Linked DNA regions of Sus scrofa. The protein of the gene in region 1 interacts with the protein of each later gene in a biochemical or structural test. Links are inferred from orthologs where the notes say so. Each region holds a gene or a part of one and is shown on either strand. Other genes may lie near its edges.

Region 1 (4,292 bases):
TTGGGAGTGGTATTACTGTCTTACCGTCATCAGGGTGTTCTCTGGCCTTGTCATGGTAGGACTCCTGAGAGCTCTGTGCTTGTCTGGCCACCTAACAGCATGAATCCCCACCCACAAAAGAAAGAAAATCACCTTAGAGTTTGTGACAAAAGTGCTATGTGTATCCACTGGTAACTCGAGGAGGAGGAGGATTAGGTGCAACTCAATCTACTTATTCTATTAATCTATGAGGATAGGCTAGGGCTGACTACTGAGAAATCTTTTTTTCAGCATACATTTTTGAGAATTATCTGCCCAGGACTGGAAAGCATAAAGAAAATAGTAACAAAAACAAATTTGGGAACAATTCATATACTATTCTGACTGCTATTTGCTAAAACACATCAAGGCTGCTTGGATGCCTAAATATGATAGGAATTTGAGTTAACGGGGTTGGTCGTTTTGATAGCTTCTTCACAACCACTGTTTACTTCAATCAGATCTGATTAAAGGAGGGCTGAAATATCACTTTGCAACTGAAAATGACATTTTAAATAAAAACAAGCCCACCACTCACAAAAGGGGGTTTTAGGCAACTGTCCCAAACTGGTTGCAGCAGGAGCTCCACCCCTTATAACCTACCATGGCTGGTTGAGTGCAAGCTTACAAGAGAAAAGTGAACTATTTTGTGGTTAAAGGGAGGAAAATTTGAGAGTAAGGCTACAGACACGTAAAAGGCAGCCCAGTTAATATCAGCTCTGTAACCACCATCCACCCAGCCTCAACCACGTGCAAATCAGTGGTATTACCCTTTCACCATTTTTCTTGGGTCTGCCCCATGCCCACTCACCACCAGCAAAGATGAACAGAGCCCTAGTACCTAGGGGTTCTGGGCTTCAAATGCAGTGCCCTTCTCCCCAATGCAGACACAGGTAGACGATGTGAAGCGGGTGGCGAATTTATTTATAGCAAAAGGACGTACAAACAAAATGAGTAGAAATTTTAAAAGGCCACTCTACAAATATGAGTTTGGCCTCGAGTGTTGTGGATGTTATTTGGTTCTTTAACACGTGTCCTCCTGGTAACCTCCCCCCAATGAACACACAATCACAAATCTTTTAAGCAGATTTGGGGGCATCCTCTCCGCTGCCACGGCCTCCCTCGCCCCCTCCCGCACAATTGGCACGTTGGGATGAAAGATTTAGGGGACAGAACATCCCTACATTCTCTTTAGAACCCAGGCTCCCAGGCCCCCGACTTCCAAAATGCGTACTCACCCCTGCCATTGGGATAAAGAAGGTAACTCAGAGGTGTTCTTAAACTTGCTGTTTAAAACCCAAAATGTCCCCGCCCCCAAAACCTCACACGCCTTCTTTTTGGGGGCAGAAGGATGCCATTTAAGGAAAAAGGATATACCCTCCGAATTTCTTTGGAGGGAAAAAGCGTTGGTGAAATCTTCTGAATGTCAGGACTTTTCTACCGGATTTCCTCCAAAGCGTTTCCCAGTTGTTGAACAAGGGTGGCCAGTGCAGTGTCGGGTATCAGGGTCCATCCGCTCTCCCGCTCCCCCACCCCCAAAGCTCTCAGCTCGGCCTGAAATAGCCCTTCCGCGAGGTCCAGCTCTCGGCTTTCTCTCGCCAGCACCCACGTGTCTCTATTTACTCTACTCGGGTTACCAACGCTATCGCCCGCAGCGGGCCAGAGATCTGATAACGTGCTTTCCACTCTCCCCTGAGTGGGTGCCCTGGCTTCCGCCGCATCTCGACTCTGGCTCGCCTTTCTTTTGCATAGATTTAAGGCCTGATCCGGGCCCAAACTAACCCCCAATATAAACTTTTTTTTTTTTTTTTTCAATTCTTTAAGTGGCTGTGGGTGGAGAAAACTAGCGTTGCGGACCTTACTGCGAGTGCCCCCGCCCTGGGGTGGTTCCGCTCGGCGCGCCCACGGCTCCCCACAGCCAGCCCCGGCACTGGGACTCGGGCGGCGGCAAGGACCGGGTCCCGCACCGCCCCCGCCGCGCGCCCCGCTGGGCGCGAGCCTGGCTCCGCGGCGGTTGGGATGGCCCCGCCTGTCCTCGGCCCACGCCCGCCTCCCCTTCCTTTCTGCCTGTGGCTCTGCTCGTTTCTACCTAAGCTTTTGGTGGTTTAACGCATTTTTGCAGAGACATCTATCGAGAGAGCGGGTGCACTTTGTTTTCCGTCCTACGGAAGAACTTCTCAGTAGTGCTGTTCAGACATCCTCGCTTTAATGCATCGCACATTCTCAACCCCACGAAAACGTCTGAAGGCGAAACGTTATGGGTTAAGGGCCGCAAACCAACAGTTTAGTCACAGAACCCCAAAACGGATCCATTTTGAATGTTTTCCTGCATCCCCCTCCACCTCACACACGCACAAACGAAGAACGTTGACCAAAGTAGCCCAGCCCCTCACCCCATCCCACCTCGGCCCCAGGAGACCTGCTGGGGACCCATCAGCTGGGGCTGTCCAGAGCCTTCCCTCCCTGCTCTTCCCCCGGACCCGCCACGCCGCTCTGGGCAGCGGCCCGCTCACCTCGTGTCCGTTGCTCGCCGGGATGATTTCGGACTCGTTAACCAAGGAGGACTTGATGTCGGCTAAGTCACCTTCCTCTTCAGGGTGACTGATCTCAGCGAAAATCTTCTCTTTCTGGGGATCGCCCTCGTCCTTGAAGGGGATCATCTCGTCCGTGGCGCAGAGTTCCGGGTCCCCCCCGCCGCCGCCTGCCCCGGAGAGTTGGGGCATCCCGACCACTCTGTAATCTCCGCTCCGCTGGGGGAGCACCCCAGGCGACAGCAGAAGAGAGAAAGGGTAAAGGAAAGGTGGGGGAGGAGAAGGAGAATTGGAAGGGTGTGTGAGGGACGACAGCAGGCGGAAGCCGGGCTGGCGAGCGCAGGGCTGGCGGCCGGCAGCCTGAGCAACTGCAGCGGCGTCCGCGTCCCGGCGGCCGTCCGCGTCTTCCCACTCGGCCGAGACCCACGCCGGCACCCGTCCGCGAGGCCGAAGGACACAGGGCTGCGAGGGCCGCCGCTGCCGGCGCCTCTGGGGGCGTCTGCGCCGTGCAGCGTGGCGCACGCTAGGCTAGACTGCCCGGGCGGCCACCCGACGCCCCCAGCGTCTCCCGGGTCGTAGGAGGTTCGAGTCTCCGAAGTGCAGAGGAGGGTCCGCCGGCGCGTCTCTACGCAAATCTCTCCACCTCAGCTCCCCCGGAGGCCGATCTGGGAGTTTGTTTCCCGGAAAAATAAGGGACTCGGGCAAAACGGCTCCGTTTGCCCCAGTAGAGACGGTGCAAGGAGAATCAGAAGATAATGAATGTCCACTTCCTGGAGAGCAAAAAAAAAAAAAAAAAAAAAAAAAAGCCACCAGGGTTGGAGATGTCCGTTTTAGAGCTTCTTGTTTCCTTCCCTTTCGCTTCGGTTTTCCTTCTCCAGGCGAATTTAATCTGCCGGAGGAGAAGGTGGGGGCGGAGGAGGAGGGGAAGAAAAGGAAAAGAAGTTTGCCAAGAATAAAGTTTGTGCGTGCAAGCTCAGGGAGTCGGCAGTGGAGGGCACGGCTGGGTCTCGGGGAGTCACAGCAGGGACCGCGGACCCAAAAGCTTCTGCCCGGAGCTGGAGCCGAAACACACACAGCCCGACCCCTCTTTGTTCCCGGCTCGAGTTTCTCAGTCTGGCTCGCTCGCTGGCTCGCTGCTCTCCACGCCTCCGCCCGGCCGCTTGTCAAAGCAAAGAGCTGCACCCCTCGGGTTCGCCCGGCCCGGGGGAGGGGGACGCCCAGAGCTTGGCGGCTTGCGGGGCTACGGGCGCGTCCTGGCTCTTCGGCCTGAGAGCGCGCAGCCTGATCCCTCCTCCGCGCCCGGCCCCGCAGGTGAGCGGCTGCGCCTCCCCACCGCTTCTCCTCCTCCCGCGCCTCGCCGGCGCTGAAAAGCTACCCACTTGCGTCGCTTCTCCTCCCCTTCCCCTCCCCCGCCTCCAGCTTTCCTTGGCTGCCCGCTGGGAGGGAGGAGGGGGACGGCGAGAAGGAGCTGGTGATTGAGGACTTTTTTCTTTTCCCAGAGCCTGTAGGACTAGTCCTAGTTTTGGGGTGTGTATGTCTGTGTGTGTGTGTGTGTGTGCGCGAGAGAGAGAGAGAGAGAGAGAGAGAGAGAGGGAGCGCGCGCGCGCGTGCGGAGAGCGCCTAGAAAGAAGATTCAGGCAACTTGGCGAAGGAAGGATCCCGCGCTTCTTGTGACCCAAGGAAGGCACGTTTTTGCCCGCGTGAAACTGACAAGAAACTGCGGGAATGGTTTATTAACTTCAT
Region 2 (3,509 bases), on another chromosome or scaffold:
GTGGGCACCAAACCAAGTAAGGAAACCACAATTATACCATTCTTGATGTGGACGCACTTCCACTTTAAAACTTCCAGCCGGAAAAGTCAGTGGTGAGATTTGACACTGAAATCTCTCAAACTCACTCCGACAAAGCCGCTGAAAGGTGGGGAGTAGAGCGGGTCGTCACATTAGAGACAAATCTTAACAACATTAAAGTTTCCCCATCACTGCTTTTTTTTTTTTTTTTTTTTTTTTTTGCAGTAACAAAGATGTTGTCAGAAATGACAATTTTTTGTGTCCCCTGATGATGCCTTGCTAGCATTTGGTTATAAGCCATAAAGCAGGACTAATTTCAGCCTGTCAGGAGTCTCACTAATGCCCAGTTTCCCCCTAGAGAGAATTCCTGTCAAATCTAATGAGAGCTGCAAAGGCCCTCTCTACAATATAATGAGCACTTAGGCCATGCTGGTGATCAGGCGGCAAAAAGCATCAATTTGAGCCTGGCTACACCCTGGGGGCCAGACGTCACCAGTTTTAATAAGAATTATGATTACTAGCTGCACCAAATGCCTCCTCAGAACTTATTATTAATGTGTGACATTCAGAAGGATGTTTTTCAAATGTAAGGCCACTTTAAACTGAATTACAGCACCGCTCTGCACACCACTCTAGTTAAGGGTCTGTCAGCATTTACAATATAAACTAAATTTCAGGGGGCTTAATATTCTACTACGAAGAACCCTACGTCTCTCAGCTTTTCACATTTTTCAAATTACTGAGCCAATTATACACAGCATATTATTAATGCACAGTGGCTCATGGACAGACAATATATACCCACAAATGCCCAGTGGAGTACAGAAACTCATTAGAAAACTATTTTCACACCATGGGGTTCCTGACCCTCCTCACCCCTTCTTCCTTCTTCCTGTGCGATAAAGAAGAGGTCACTCCACCAAGTAACCTACAGGAACCCAGAAGAATTTCACACCTCTCCGTAGTTACCCCAATAAATCCAGCACCAGCCCACAACATCACAGAGGTGGGGCTCCCTTGTATGGCGTCGTGAGGTTATTAAACCCTTTGAGCTTGTGAGTGTAAGAGAAAACTCAATCTCCTCTTATGCTTCCAGAATATGTGTTAGCAAAAAAAGAAAAATAAGTGCCTTTAGGGTAACTTTTTAAGAAGTGGCAGGTCAGAACTCTTCAACCAATTTTATTTGCATAATTCTTTTAAATGACCACAGATCTTCTAGCTCAATTACTATCAACAAGTTACAATTGCCTCAATCAGGCACTAGCCCTTTAAGCTCTCAGAAACAAAAGCACAAACCCAACATAAACTAGGCTACCAACTTTGCAAATCAGAATAAAATCAGCACTTTTAAAGACCCAATTATACCGTTAATGAAAGGTCCCGAACATAACTATCTTCTTCCAAACATATATCTGAGAACAGATCTAATGTACACGATAACATTACAAAATCTATGATGAATTAAAAATCAAAGAGCCCAGAGTTACAAAAGCAGAATTCAACTCTGAAACACACTTGCTTAATGAAAGTCTTTGAATATGAGGAAGATCTGAAGGCTGAACTAATCAATTTCTCCACTGTGCCCCAGCCGGTCAGCCATGCTCTTTAATTTAATGAAACAAGGGTTTGAGATGAAATAGCACATATACATCAAGTAAGAATTGTATTGTTGCACTTTGAAATGTGTCCAACTGTGCAACTTCATCTGATGATAATTTTTTAAGAGGCAATCGATTTCTAAAAGACTTATTGTACCGGAGTCTTGATGAAAAAGTGAATGTCAGCATATCTCCAGAATACTTACACCCTGCCATTAATGCTTTCTTTGGCAGACAATGACTACTCAATCGAGGGTCCTTTGGGCTGAGCAATCATTTAGCTTTTCTTCTCTTATGAGGTCCTTAGTGCCTTGTTCCAGCTCAATACTCTTTTTATACACCATTATAGTAGCCATAAGTGTGAATTTTATGGGAACTTGCAAACTCATAGTCATAGCTCGAGCTTTCCAGTCACTAATCTTTTCATGCTTTTAAAACCACCAGGACTGGAGAGACTCCCAACATATGCTGTGGTCATAAAAGGATGCTTTTTTCCCCTCTAAACCTGTATCAACTGAGACATTTTTCAAAATGATGTTTGCTAATAAGCCACTAATCCTGAGTGTCGCTTTTTGTAGCCCCAAAGCATAGAGAGAACCCCCAGGTAAATCATTTACCTGCATAACCTGAATAAAGAAACTCCGGAAGACCTTTCTTTCCCCTACAGGTCTACACTTCTTTCCAAATCAGCACAAAAACATTAGTTATTCTGAACTTCAGAACTCTACAGGATACCGAAATCTTTCAAGAGAACAGTGTATCCACACAGAAAAGTCAAGCAGAGCCTCAATTCCTATGTGCCTATAAACAGGCTAGTTTACACTTCCAAAGCACCTCTCATCTAGTAACTTAAACATTCTACAACTATTAAGAAGCAACTCCTGCTGCAGAATACCACCACCAATTCGCAGGAAGGGAAACCAAGGCTGAATAGCGGCATACAAATCCCCCCACTGCTGAAGTCAAAGCCAGTACTATAAAATCATGACTTATTTATCATTTCAACTTGAGATTTAACTAAAGCTTACCTGTTTATGCATTTCTATGTTTAATCCATATGACATTTCATAATACTGTAAAAAGGAAAAAGAACCAAGCATTTCATTAACTCGTGTTTTGCAATGCTCAGAACACATATTTGTTAATATTACATGCAAAGGAAAAAGCTTAATTTTTGATACCTACCATCACGTAGTGCCTCTGCATTTCTGTCTTTTCACTTGCCAGTTTCTCACATTCCAATTTAAGGCTACAAAAACAAAACAGGCAACTTAATGTAAACATTATGTCACTTGTTTTAACATCTGCCTCACATATTTGCACTTCAAGTAAAAACACAGACCAATTTGGAAAAGCCATAAACTATCTAGGTAAACACCCAAAAGCTTTGTCCTTGCATTTAATAGGGAAAATGAATCCAGTAAACAGTTCAGGGTATCCACTAAGCAACTATTCTTTTTCTTCTAGGTGCAGACCTGGTCTGACGCCAAGAATGAAAAAAATCTGTCAAAACCTCAGATCTACACAGAAGACTGATTTCTCCTCGTGGTCATCAGTTCACTCCTATTTCCTTCCCGGAATCAAAGTTTGCTGCCCTGGATTCCACCAAAACCTAGCCTTTGTACAACCTCCAGTTGAAGGCACAGGCTGTACTATCTGTGCCAACTCAAAAAGTCTCAAAGTTTGAAAACTGTACCTGCAAAGTTACTTCTACAATTGTTGTTTCCTTTTAAAACCTTTGTTTTTAACTCCCTGACCAAATAGGCCACGTAACTACGCAATTAAGTGGGATGAAGTCCTCCCTACCTGATAAACATGGTGTGGGCAGGTATGCGTCAAGCTCTAGAGATTATTATCTTCAAGTAGACAAAATGTCAATAATCAGAAAGCCCC
Region 3 (4,210 bases), on another chromosome or scaffold:
AAAAATGAAACTCATATCAATTACAGCCTGAAAATCAATGATGAAAGGAGACATTTACCAGGCTAATTCCAAAGAGTTCATTTTCCTGTGCTGATGGAGGCTTCTTCTAGACATTAACAAGAATCTTTTTTTTTTTTTTTTTTTGAGGTATAGTTGAAGGATCTATTTTTGAAGCACTGAAAACATTATCTATCCACACCAGAATACTTTCATCCTTGGGCGGGGGGGGAATCCCTTTCACTCTAGTTATGAAAGGAACAGGAATTGTAGACAATGATAAATACCTTTTATTATCAACTATTAACCTTTCTAAGAAGGACGAATAGATGAAATGTTGCATTTAAGAAGCCCTAGGACTTTTTAAAATATCCTAGAACTAGCAAAAGTAGAGCAGTTTCATGTTTAAAAAGTGTACTTCCTACTACAGCAACCACCCAAGGGATAACAGTAACTTACAAGCCACTAAATGACACTAAAACATTACACTGAATGTGGGCCACTGCATAGTTACAGTCTACTGACCTCGATCGTGGTACGCATGTGTGATGCTATATTTAATGCATTCTTATCAAAAGGCTAAAGCTACATACTTCCCAACTGTAGCTTTATGGTTTAAAATAAACCACTCATGTAACCTGATCTTCCTTCTGACCATCAAGATCACAAATTAAGGAATGAAAAGATAGAAAGAATAGCAAAATGGTTATGCAAAGTATATCCCAATGACAAGGCTATCATAAGGAACTGAGTTTGGGTCGGTTGTGGTATTTGTTGCAATCGATTCAAACTGAGTCAAACATGAGAGATGGCCAAGCAAGATTTGTGTAGGCATAAGCATTCCATGCATTCATCTATTTATTGATCCTCCATTCCGTGGCTTGCTTAGGTTCTACACAATAAGTTTGGTAGACAACAAACTTATGTGTGTTACTCAACAGAGGGTGCTCCACCAAAGTTGGCCACGACTCAAAGGCCTAAGCCTACACAGCCAATGCATTAGGCCTCTTTACCAGGTGTGGAAGGGTGGCTTCCTACAGCTGAGCTGCGGAACAACCCAAGAAGCTTGTTCTACTTGGGTCAACACCGAGAAGAAAACCAGGAGAAAGGCCTTGCCCAACGACAGCTGGGAGAAGAAACCCGAAGTTGCGGTTTTCTTGGGATACTCACCAGACGACACCAAAGGCTCCATATCCAATAGGTCTATCCGGCTCAATATCCAGCTGCTGTTGTGGATGATGCGAGTGCTGATGATGGTGCGCCTTAACTGTGGCAGCTGCGGCAGCCTGTACCTGAGCTGGGGCTGCTGCAGCTGGTCCAGGAGCCTGACCCGGTGCCGGTGATGGGAAATATGGCTGTTGTTGCCCAGGGTTTAACATGGCTGCAGCTGCGGCCGCTGCTGCGGCTGCCGCAGCTGCCGACGAGGTATGCTGCTGTACGGGGTGGACAGCAGCAGCCGACCCGGGATGAAGATGGTGCTGAGGGTGGTGGTGGTGGTGAAGGTGAGGAGGAGGGAGGTGTGGAAGGTGGTGGTGATGGTGGTGGTGGTGCCCTGCTGCTGCCGCAGATGTACCGCCATTGTAAGCCGCCATCATTTTTGCGTTGGCTCTTGCGCCACAAAGAGACATTCAAAAAAAAAATGCCCTTTGATTGGAAAGCAAACTGGGTCAAGCTGTCATTTGGCCATTTAAAAATGAAGAAAAGAACCCACTCACTCCACCTCCAAAAACATGGAGCGGAACTGGCTTTATGTCTTCATCAGTCAATCCAGACAAGTGAGCGGATCGTGGTGTTCAATTTGGGGGTGAGAGTGTGTGGAAGAGTGTGGGTTGCCCCCAAAAAAAATAAAAAAGAAAAAAGAAAAAGAAAAGAAAAAGGGAAAAGGGACCCCTTCCCCCCAGGTTTCCTGCCACAAGTGGGTACTAAAACTCCATCCTTAACTCGGGGGAGGTTCCAACTTTGACTGTGGGAATAAAGGCCAAACCTCCCGACCCCCCGAACTCCACACACGAAAAGGATCAGGTAACACACCACCCTTGGAATCCTGTAAGAGGCTTGACTCATCTACCCCTTCCATTCCCACATCCTTTTCTAAACACCTACCACCTCCTCAAAAATGCAACTGAAAAAAATTCCAACCACCCCAAAGTGAAAGGATGGGGGGAAATGTTCAGGGAAACCAGCTTTCCCCCTCGAACTCTCAGGCCTTCCTACATCTCCCCCTACTCCTCGTCAGGCTGACCTGACTGGAGGGGAGGGGGGGGGCTACTAAACTTTCCCGAACAGAAAAGAGCCAGGGAAGGAGGCAGGAGGGACCGAGTGAGCAGAGGAGGCGACAGGGCAGGACTGAGAGGAGAAAGAGAACCGGGGCAAAGTGAAGGTAAGGAGGTGCGGGGAGGAATGAAAGAGAGGTGGGCAGCACTCGGACGCCCAGACAGAGGGAACCGCCCCGGGAGGAGGTTGGGGTCCTGGGGCCAAAGAATGGGAGCCCCGGGAGGCGGGCGGGGTGCAGTCGGAAGCGGGCTGACTCCTGCCCCCGCCGCCGGCTGCTTCTGCTGAGGAGGGTTGGGGGGGAGAGCGGGTGGGTCCCCCCGCGCGACGGCCCCCGTAGGGCTCAAGGCTGCTCCGTCTCCCCCCCTCCCCCCCACCCGGCTTCGGTCCCGCGGCCGCTTTCTCCTTAGCCGCCACCGCCGCTTTCTCCTCTGCCGCCGCCTCCTCAGCCGCTGGTGCCGCCGCGGCCGGACTCACCTCCCCTAGCAAAGCCGGATAGAGCGGAGCCAGCGGCGGACACGCGCAACCAGCCGCCGAGGCCCCGCCCCCGCCTCACACTGACCGGCTGCCCTAGCCAATCCACGCCCACCTGTCCGCATCCGCCTCCAATCCTGGGCCGGGAGATTCAGACAGGCGCACTGCTCGGCCAGTGGCGACAAGGTGTGGGTCTCCTGGGGAAATCCCGCCCCGACCTGGGATGGGCAGATCGAAAGACCAATCAAAAGGAAGAGTTTAGCCTGACCGACAAGGCCAAAAGCGAATTAAACACCAAAGATCTCCGTGACATTTTCTTTCGCCTCTCTCCTCTTTTCTTTTTCTTCTTTTATTTTTTTGGCAGGAGCAGGAAGCTGCGTGCTAATCCCGCCTGCCAAAGCTGATGGAATGAAAGAACCAATCGTGAACCGGGGACCAAGAACAGAGCAACCAATCCTTGGCTTGGAGAGGAAGTGGGTTGAGACTGGGGCCAGATAGACACTTGATATGACAAATGAAAAAAAAAATTGCTCTCGGTCCCACCCTTCAGGTCTCCTATAGGTCAGGATTGTGGAGAATTCGCTGTCATATCAGCGACGACCTCCTCAGGGGGCGTGGCAAGATGAAAATGGGTGTGGTCTAAAGAAAGGGGCGGGACCTAGTCGAAGAAGGCGGAGTCCAAATCGTCTCTGGTCCATTGATAGCAGCCCTCTACTATCCCTTTTAAAGAAATCAGGTGTGGAGAAATAGGGGGAGCAAAAGGGGATGTCGAGCTTGTTAGGAAACTCAACCAAAGTTACTCAACAAGACAGGCACAAAAGAAATTCAGTAGACTGACAGTTCATATCCAGTAGCTGGTTCTCCATGTCTCATCCTCATAGCGGCAAAAAGACATGTTATTTCTAGTTTTCAGGAATATACGCTCATTGAACTATAGGCTATTGATACAAATTAAAACAAAAATGATTACCCACAAAGACTAATTTCTCCCATATTTTCTAAGTCAATGAGTTCTAGCTATTGAAATCTTAACTAAAATAACATCTTTCACTTTCACAAAATTTACTTACCTGAATTTACCTTTCTTTAAAAATATGAAATAATACGCATACAGAATCTTACCCTTACTAAAACTGTGCACTCAGAACCCCGGAGATTGTCTTTGATTTTTTTTTTTTTTTTTTTTTTTTTTTGTCTTTTGCCATTTCTTGGGCCGCTCTTGTGGCATATGGAGGTTCCCAGGCTAGGGGTCTAATCGGAGCCGTAGCTACCGGCCTACACCAGAGCCACAGCAACGCGGGATGGGAGCTGTGTCTGCAACCTTACACCACAGCTCAAGGCAACACCAGATCCTTAATCCACTGAGCAAGGCCAGGGATTGAACCCACAGCCTCATGGTTCCTAGTCGGGTTCGTTAACCACTGAACCATGACGGGAACTCCCTCTTTTCTTTTTTCTAAATGTCTGC
Region 4 (4,290 bases), on another chromosome or scaffold:
GCCAAGGGAGACAAGGTGACCCAGCGGCGTGGGCACAAAAACCAGGGATGGAAATCCACTTTGTCTGGATCCACCCAAGCGACTGGGTTTCCCTAATTGAAAAAGATGGAAAAAAAAAAAAATCTGCCTCAGCACTAGGTCCTTGCCAGACAGGTAGAAGACGGCCCAGTCCTAAGAGAATCATGAGAAGGCCAAGTTAACCTGAACTCTCAGAAACACCTGAAGTGTCCAATACCTCGGGCTGCAGAGGACTTTGAAAGAGGAAAAGACAGACCACAGCTGTGCTTCCCCAGAGGGCAAACTCCTACTAAGGCAAGGGAGAACAAGGCCTCTCCTCCAGGCTGTCACTAGCCCAGAGGCCGACACTGGCAATGTTACCAACAAAGATCCTAGGGGCCCATCCCTCTGGCTAACACAGCTTTAGCGGTCAGCAAAGAATGTATTCCAAAGCTTCAAAGTGCAGAGCAGCCTGGCCTAGCAGAAGGAGCACATTTGGTCAGAATCCCGTTACTACACCAAGCTTTTTCACCTCTCGCCTCCAAAGTTTTCTCAACTTTAAAAACAAGATAAATCTTAGGCCTAATTGCCTTATCTATTTTCCAGGAGTTTCTTTTTCTTGCTCTCATAAAACCACGTGAAAGACCTTGGTAAACTGTAAAACGCTTTACACAGCTGCTCATTTTATAATTGATACTTTTTTTTTTTCCTGTTTCAAGGCATAAAGCCCTTGCCCTCAAGGCACCGAGACAGGTAAGAAGGCAGGTTTTGCAAACCCCTCCCCAGGCGGGAGAAGTATGACATCTGTTCGCCCTACTCCTTGACCCTCATCCAAAGGAATAAAGAAGAATTAAGCACCAGGGCTGGGACCAGGACCTAGGGCTCACTGACCATCACATCACACCACCTCCTCTGAAGTCAATTCTGGCTCCTGATCACACGCCCAGAACACACTTCCCAGACAGCACATTGCCTTCCCTCCCGCTTTATTGACTGGATCCACCCAGTTTTGAAAAAAAAAATTATTATTTTTCAAGTCAGCACTCCCACCATATGCAGCATTTATTTCCAGGGGAGGCCTGCCCTGGGTTCCCGTGGACAGATGTTGCTTTGTGCCTGCCTGACACGGCTGGCAGCCTTTATACAGCTGCCCCAAGCAGGTGGCCAAGGACGGAGTTCACTCCTGGCCCCAGCAGCAAGGATGGCAATTTCTGTGGGGTGCAGGCCCTGGGGACCCTCCACTCAATCCTCTGCAGCCCAGGACCCAAAGGACATCTCCCCCACCCCACCCCACCCTGCCCCCCCACACACACACTTTCTCTCTCTCTCTCTCTCTCTCTCACACACACACACACACACACACACACACACACACACACACTCCCTTGGAGCAGAATCGGACTTCTAAAGGGGGCTGGCTGAGAGGGAAAGACAGGAGACTATGGTGCCCCCACACCCCAATTCCCAGCCAGGCGCAGCGAAGCTAAAAGAAGGCCCTGGGGAGTGGAGAGAAGTCACTGACCCCTTCTATCAGCCATCTGTGAGCTCCCGCCTGACCTAGCTAGCGCAAAGTGGAGGATAAAGGAGGTCCAGACAGATGGCACAGCGCTTTGGGAAGGAAGGCTCTGTAGGAATGCGAGGGCCGAGGCGAGGCCCCCCTTTGGGGTGCGTTTTGTTATCTCCTCAGTTCTCAGCCCCCCGCGTTTTGCAGCCACTCGCAATCTATGGCTGAAAGGTGGGCCAAAAAACAGTCGGGGGAGAAGACCCTACCCTCTGCCACTTATCTCTCTCATTTGAAAGTCAGACCACCCCACTGCAAGTAAAGTGCGTGTGTGTGCGGAGGGGGCGGGAGACTGGCACAACCGAATCTAAAAATACTCGATAAAAATGCTAATCCCGAAGGCAAAGAGAGAACGAAGAAGGAATCTGTCAATCACGAGGCTCCCGCTCCTCACCCACAGCCCCAGCTGTACGGACTGCATTCCTGCCGAGGAGGAAAGAAGTGGGGGGACAGGGATGAAGAAAAGAAAGGGAGAGACACCACCACCTCCACGAGCGCGGGCCGCGGGGGCGGGAGGCGGCGGCGGAGGAGGGGCTCCGGCCCGCGGAGCTGAACAAAGCGGGCCTCAAGTTCTAGCCCGCAGCTCCCCCGGGGTGGGGGCCGCCGATTCCAGCAGCACCCGCTTTCCCGGAGGTGAAAAGCGAATACGAGGTCTGGGAGCGCGAATGCCGTGTGGAAGCCTCAGGCTCTGAATCTCTGCAAATCCAGAGAAGGTTTTGTTTGGGGTCCCCCGCTTTCCTGTCTGTGTTCCCACCGCCCCCCCCCTACACACACACGGGCACCCAGGCCACCCCTCCGTTCCAACCCCCCGCCACGCCAGGGGGCTGGGCGGGCGCGCCCCAGGGTCCCTCGGGCCCCCACCTGGGGATGGTGATGCACTTGGTGTTGACGTTCTGCGTGGTGATGGCCTTCTCCAGTTCGTCCAGCTGCCCCGTCTTCTTGAGCTTCTTGACCAAACTCTTGACCGCCTTCTCGCACCACTTCTCCTCCTGCCCGTTCTGCTCACCCTTCTTCCAGCCCAGCAGGCGTTTCACGATCGGGGGCGTGAAGGGCAGGATGGACGACATGGCTGGGGAGGGCGCGCGGGCGGCGAGGGGCGCCCCCGGCGGGGCTGGGCGCGGCGGAACGCCGGGGGCGCAGCGGGGAGCTCGGCCGGGCTGGCCGCGGCCGCCCAAACTTCGCCTCAACTCTCGGCGAACTTGCCGGTGCTCCCGGCCGGGCCGCGGCGCTGCAGCCTGCGGGGCTCGGCGTGCGGCCCTGTGCCCCGGGCGGCTCCCTCGGTGAGGAGAAGAGCGGCGGGGAGAAGGGCGGGCGGCAGCGGCACGGGATCGGGAAGGCCCCGGACGCGGGGCGGAGGCGGCGGCCGCGGGGCTCCGAGTGGCAGAAGAAAGTTTGGGTTTCCGCACGGGGTGGCTGTTTGGGTGCCGCCTCCAGGAAGGAAAGTCCAACCCTCAGCCAAACTTTGCTCGCCTCGCTCGCTTTGATGCGCAGATCCCTCCGCCTCGGCAGCCTCGCCTCCCTGCTGCCCTCCTCCTTCCCGGCTCTCTCGCTCGCTCGCTGGGCCGGCCCGGGGCGTGCGCCGCGCTCCCGCTCCCGCTCCCGCCCGCTCCCAGTCTGTGTTTCATGCAAATCCGCGTGCAGCCTCCTTTCCAAGCGCTGTCACCGCCCCCTTGCCGCCGGGGCTCCCCGCCTCCTCCCCCGCGCCCCGCCGCCTCCTCCCGCGGGCGCCCTGCCCGCCCCCCGCCTCCGGGAGGGCGCCGGGCCGTCCCCCGCCCGGCGCGGAGCACGCCCACGTGGGCGACCGGGGGCTGCGGCGGACCTGGCTGGAGCTCGCAAGACCCCGCGCGGCCCTGACCTGAATCCGGCGGGCGCCGGGAGGAAGTCGTGGGAAAGGAGCGGCGAGAGGGGCCCCGGACGGGAGGGCCGGGCTCGGGCCGTGGCGTCCGCTCTCGGAACCCACACTAAGAAAGTTCAGTTGGCGTGGCGGGCCCGAGAGGGTTAGGCTCGCACGAACGCACGACGTCTGGCCGCAGGCTGGCCGTGCATCCCTGGGAGGACCCGGGTCCGAGAGAGGGCGTGCGCAAAGCTGAGGCCCAGGAAGGCTGGCAGCGCACTGGTATGCGGGCACGCGAATCCCGGTTAGGGACCTTGGTGGCGCCGGTGACTCTAGGGCTCCTTTAATTCTAGCACCGGTGAGATCTTACCGGTTTAGAGCCCCGAGACCGTGCGAAGGAGGGATTAGGAAGGGGCTCGCTCTCAGAAGTGGAGATTCGGGGACCCTAGTGACTCCCTGTATAATAACTGGAGCCAGGGGGTCCCAGGGGCCTTGGGAAACAAGTGCCCAGCAGAAAACGGGCCTCAAAGGTATCCGTTGAGTTCAGGACGGGGCGCTTCAGAATTTATCTTTGGAGGAAAAGTTTCATTACAGGGTATTTGGAATCTTATGATGAGCAAAGAGCCGAAATTCAACACCCTATAAATAGAAGGCAAGAGCTTTGTTTTCAAAGCTGTGAACTTGCAAAAAAGTGGGGCAAGAGGGCAGTACCGGGGAACCTTATGTATTCCAAATTAGCTCTGGTGGGAAGCAAAGAAATACCAAGATATTGGGGGCCCTCTGGGGCTTCTCTCCCCAGAAGCACAATTCAAGGGCATCTGCCCCCAGACCCCTCCTGCAGCTGCTTTCAGGAGTTACCCCAGGACCCCAGGGCCTTTCTCCTGCTGCCCCTCCCCTA
Region 5 (4,309 bases), on another chromosome or scaffold:
GTTCTGTCTTCTCTAGGTGTTTATAACCAATCTATCCTCAATTATTTAAAAAGGCACTGACAATAAAAGCTTACTCTGATAACCCCAACTTAGTTGTAGTAAAGACCTCACCGACAGTGCCAAATAGAGAATAAGTTGCTTCTTTCCTTGCTAAAGCCTGAAATTCTGATTCATTAAAGAATAAGGATCTGCCAGTGAATTAACATTTATTTTTAAATGTGCAGCCCTTTCTTTTTTAAGTGACATAGTGAAATAAGCACATTACACCCATTGCCCTCATTTGATGTTTATTTTAGTAATGTCTATTGTCCTCATCATTATCGTGTCTGGACCCTTTATGAAACTCACAATGTCTCTGTGAACCTCCGTGTGCATGTTAGATCAGTCATTTGAAACAATTTGAGATTGTCAACTAAAGGACTTCATTATCCCAGGCACTGGTATGGAATTATTGCATTTCAAATTCTTGTGCTTAAAATACCTCACCATTTCAGCAGTGAAAATCGGCCATTATTGTAATTTTGAGATATATGTATATTTGTTTGCCTTTTTCCTTCCTTTACCCTTTTCCCCCAGATTCTAAGTGTCATAACACTGGCAATCATATATACTTGTTCACAGTGTGTCTGTTGTGCCTTGTACAGTGTTTATTTAGCACATAATAACAGTAAATAATGGAAGGAATACATGAGTAGATATATGAATGCATCAGGTGTGTGTATATGATAAGTGTTATTCTTCTCTAGCCCCAAGAATTATATTAAAATACTTTTAAGTGAAATTTTTTTTATGCTTTCTAATTTGGGGGTTCAAATGAGAAGATGTGTATTTCTTATTTTCCACCTAAAAATCTATATCCAAAATAGCCTGTGTGTGTTTTTCCTCTGTGATTTAGAATTGCTTCTGCTCTTGCTCATACAAGGTCAGTAGGATGTTTGTACATATATCCAGCTGAGAATAAGATGCACATTGAGACCAGGATGCAGGATGAGGCTGTTGCACTTGAAAGTTCAACAGAGACTCCTCCATACTAAAAGATGCTCTTGCCGTAGTCAGAAGTGGCTGTGTTCTTGGGCCCTTAGAAAAGTCTCATGTGTAGCTTTTAGGCAGTGTTCTCCACAGGAGGGGGGGGCATTTAGCTCTTAACCTAAGGCTGAAAGAGCAATAGCATTGTCTATTAATACTACTGGAACTAAAGATGAATAGTGAATTGGCCTTGATCTGACAGTGAGTTTGACTTTGATAGTTCATCACTTAAAAAGGTTCTTTTATATTTATGAAAAAAAGCATGACGTCAGACTGGGTGGGGTTGAGAGGGGGTTGATACCAATATTTAAGAGCAAACTCTAGGGCTTCCAAAAAAAAAAAAAAAAACCCTCTTGTGTGAACTTTTTTTTTTTTTTACGTGCATAACTAATTAGCTTAGGTTATTATAAGCAGAGCTGCTGTGATAAAGTTTCCGGTGGTGTCTCGGGATCCCTTGTTTATAGTGCCTTCTCTATGCCAGTCTACAAATCGGAATTGCAAAAAGTAGAGGGAGTGAATAGTCCACCATTTCTCATTGGATTGGGGCCGCCTAAAGCGTGGTTATGCTGGAAATGCTAGAATATAATCACTATCAGGTGAGCTTTGTTCTTATTCATATTCGGTCTCTGAAATGTAATCATTAAACTGAATGTTTCACCTTTTCATTGTTGCTTTTGTAGACCCACAGTTGTCAGTAAGTACGTGTCTCCAGTTTAATGCTGTTTATTGTTTGGTACCATAAGCAGTAAGTCAATGTAGTTTTGAACAAAGTAAATATTAGTTGGATTCCCTCCCCCCACCCCCCGGCCCCCAGTACATGGCTTTGCTCTCTCCATCAGCTCCTTCCTGTTCATAGCTCATCAGATTAAATTGTGTTTATCAAGGCAAAAGTGACTTTAAATTGAGTGTCATTGATTTTTTTTAAAAAAGCTTCTTATTCTGCATTAATATTTGTAAAGAAGAAGGGAAAATGATCCTGGTAGCTCAATACTCATGCTTTCAAAAACACATGCATAGAATGTTTGAAAGAAACTACTTAACGTGGAATTGCTTTTTATGTTGAGTTTAAGATCTTAATTAAAATATTAACTAATCATGTCCAAGTGAAAGTGGGAAGAATTAATCCACAGCTATTTGATTTAATCATTGGAATGTTTCTGTTTCTGTTCTTCAACAACTTTACAGTTGTTTCTTAAGGAGGTTTTCTTTTCTTTCTTTCTTTTAAACAGAAAGCTGTTTTGTTTGCCAAAGAATAGTGAAATAAATCAAGTTATGCTCCTTCTTTTAAATTATTGTTTTGGTCTTAATAAGCCCTCTTAGGTGTGTTGGGGGAAATTTTTGCCCTCTACATAGTTGCAAATGTTGAGTTATTAGATCTGAGAAGAAGGCACAAGGTTTTAAAGAGATGGACTGCTAATTAACAGGGAAATGAAACAGGGCAAAGTATTACCCCAAATCCTGAGAGTTAGCCTTTAAACTTCAGTAATATCAAAATCCATTAGCCCAGTGCCTGGTACCTAACAGGGGCTTAAAAATCTCTTCTGTTGGTGGACCTGCCCGTCTCATGTTTGTGCCTGAAAGAAGAGCTGTCCGAAACTCACCAATAACAGCGCTCTCTTCTCTTCCTCCGTGGCTATGTTCAGGTGCAGACCCACCTCGAAAACCCCACCAAGTACCACATACAGCAAGCCCAAAGGCAGCAGGTAAAGCAGTACCTTTCTACCACTTTAGCAAATAAACATGCCAACCAAGTCCTGAGCTTGCCATGTCCAAACCAGCCTGGCGACCATGTCATGCCACCGGTGCCGGGGAGCAGCGCACCCAACAGCCCCATGGCTATGCTTACACTTAACTCCAACTGTGAAAAAGAGGTAATTCATGTCTCCTCCCCTCTCCTCCTTCTTCCACTAAATGACTGTCTGTTGGATCTTCCTTCCGCACTTGACTGTGGACTCTAATCTGTCCGTGCGGCCCGCTTCACCGGCCCTTGTCTCTGATTCCCCATGCCAGCTGTCACCCTCCAGCCTCTTCTCCCCGTCACCGTCACCGGGTTACTGGGTTCTAGCTCCTGGCGGAAGACCTGGCCCCCTCGGAGCGGAAGGTGGAGGCGAGGACACTTTTTCTCCCACCCCGTTTCCGCTTCCTTAGCTGAGTGTTCTCTTCCATGCCTTTCCGTTGACAAAGCAGTGAAAATGCAGGGAGAGAAGGGAAGGTGGAAAAGGGGCAGCAAAAATAGAAAAGGTGTTGGACAGGCGGTTTAGAAGTTCCGCTTGTTGTAAATGTCTGGAATATTATTTTTATTTCTCCCAGATTTGGGAAGGGGAAAAAAAAAAAAAGCCCAGAATGTGCGTGGCTGGATTGGAAGACTAGAGCACATGAGAATTTAACAAAAAGGCCGAGGTTTCCTTGCTGGGTGAATTTGGTTTCCTAATAAAATTGCCGCTGCTGGTGAAATCTGCTTGTGCAAAGGCTGGATTGGAGACAAGACTCAAACATACCTCAGGCTAATAGTTCCATCAAAATTTGAAGCATCCAAATCCAGAGGAGAGTTTTGAGTTAATGGCTCTTATTTCCAAATTCTGAGACAATGAGCTTCATTTTTATGGAGTTTGTCCTCTGAAATATTTATGTGATTTCAGAGGTGACTCATCTGAAGTTTGATTGATTTTAATTTCTAGAGGGACTAAATCTTTTCCCTTTTGCCCAAACCAACCATCTGTTTCTTCTCTGTCCATGTTTGTCATCTCTCAAGCTGATTTGATGCAAGTTCTTCCTTCCTTATTTCCTTTCTCGGTCAGATTCCACCTTATTGGGAAGCTTAGTTCATCTTGTTGCTGCACCATCAGCCTCCTGTGAACATGTCCTGGAAAAAGTCACTTGCAAATCCAAGTCATGGGCTGTTTTTGCTTGTGTTTTTGCAGGGATTTTATAAGTTTGAAGAACAAAACAGGGCGGAGAGCGAATGCCCAAGTATGAACACGCATTCACGAGCGTCGTGCATGCAGGTATTGAATGACTCGACAGCCCAAGGATGTGACACTTTGTAATGAGGATCTATATTAGTGGCTAATCACACCTTCCTGATGACTTCAGGGCTTTTTTTTTTCCCTCACTGACTTTTTTTTTTTTAATTGAGAAAGCTCTGAGCAGGGTTATTTTCTTCATTATGTCTCATGATGAAAAAATTACCAGGGAAATGATCCAACATTTTTTCCTAAGTTGATTTCTGTTATTAAACAGTGCTTAAAATACACAAATTTTCATAAATAAAATGTAAACTGTT

What was found.
Region 2: the proteins of LEF1 (region 1) and transducin-like enhancer protein 1 form a complex in vitro, tested with the Homo sapiens proteins (2 studies listed by BioGRID and IntAct, with this or other methods). The link is inferred for Sus scrofa from reciprocal best matches to the Homo sapiens genes LEF1 and TLE1.
Region 3: of the proteins of LEF1 (region 1) and NLK, one has a biochemical effect on the other in vitro, tested with the Homo sapiens proteins (4 studies listed by BioGRID). The link is inferred for Sus scrofa from reciprocal best matches to the Homo sapiens genes LEF1 and NLK.
Region 4: the proteins of LEF1 (region 1) and SMAD3 form a complex in vitro, tested with the Homo sapiens proteins (2 studies listed by BioGRID, with this or other methods). The link is inferred for Sus scrofa from reciprocal best matches to the Homo sapiens genes LEF1 and SMAD3.
Region 5: the proteins of LEF1 (region 1) and MITF form a complex in vitro, tested with the Homo sapiens proteins (2 studies listed by BioGRID). The link is inferred for Sus scrofa from reciprocal best matches to the Homo sapiens genes LEF1 and MITF.

The regions. Positions count from the first base shown.
Region 1 is NC_010450.4:113,824,965-113,829,256, reverse strand, and holds the start of LEF1 (lymphoid enhancer-binding factor 1), read right to left. Parts: upstream 2,804-4,292; 5' UTR 2,742-2,803; coding exon 2,532-2,741; intron 1,827-2,531; exon of another isoform or gene 1,266-1,826; coding exon of another isoform or gene 1,257-1,265; intron 92-1,256; coding exon 25-91; intron 1-24. UniProt on the Homo sapiens protein: Transcription factor that binds DNA in a sequence-specific manner. Participates in the Wnt signaling pathway. Activates transcription of target genes in the presence of CTNNB1 and EP300.
Region 2 is NC_010443.5:234,364,111-234,367,619, forward strand, and holds part of transducin-like enhancer protein 1, read right to left. Parts: intron 2,866-3,509; coding exon 2,802-2,865; intron 2,690-2,801; coding exon 2,645-2,689; intron 1-2,644. UniProt on the Homo sapiens protein: Transcriptional corepressor that binds to a number of transcription factors. Inhibits NF-kappa-B-regulated gene expression. Inhibits the transcriptional activation mediated by FOXA2, and by CTNNB1 and TCF family members in Wnt signaling.
Region 3 is NC_010454.4:44,401,580-44,405,789, reverse strand, and holds the start of NLK (serine/threonine-protein kinase NLK), read right to left. Parts: upstream 2,801-4,210; 5' UTR 1,626-2,800; coding exon 1,168-1,625; intron 1-1,167. UniProt on the Homo sapiens protein: Serine/threonine-protein kinase that regulates a number of transcription factors with key roles in cell fate determination. Positive effector of the non-canonical Wnt signaling pathway, acting downstream of WNT5A, MAP3K7/TAK1 and HIPK2.
Region 4 is NC_010443.5:164,996,974-165,001,263, reverse strand, and holds the start of SMAD3 (mothers against decapentaplegic homolog 3), read right to left. Parts: upstream 2,808-4,290; 5' UTR 2,626-2,807; coding exon 2,420-2,625; intron 1-2,419. UniProt on the Homo sapiens protein: Receptor-regulated SMAD (R-SMAD) that is an intracellular signal transducer and transcriptional modulator activated by TGF-beta (transforming growth factor) and activin type 1 receptor kinases.
Region 5 is NC_010455.5:51,384,057-51,388,365, forward strand, and holds the start of MITF (microphthalmia-associated transcription factor), read left to right. Parts: upstream 1-1,501; 5' UTR 1,502-1,589; coding exon 1,590-1,622; intron 1,623-2,669; coding exon 2,670-2,897; intron 2,898-3,947; coding exon 3,948-4,031; intron 4,032-4,309. UniProt on the Homo sapiens protein: Transcription factor that acts as a master regulator of melanocyte survival and differentiation as well as melanosome biogenesis.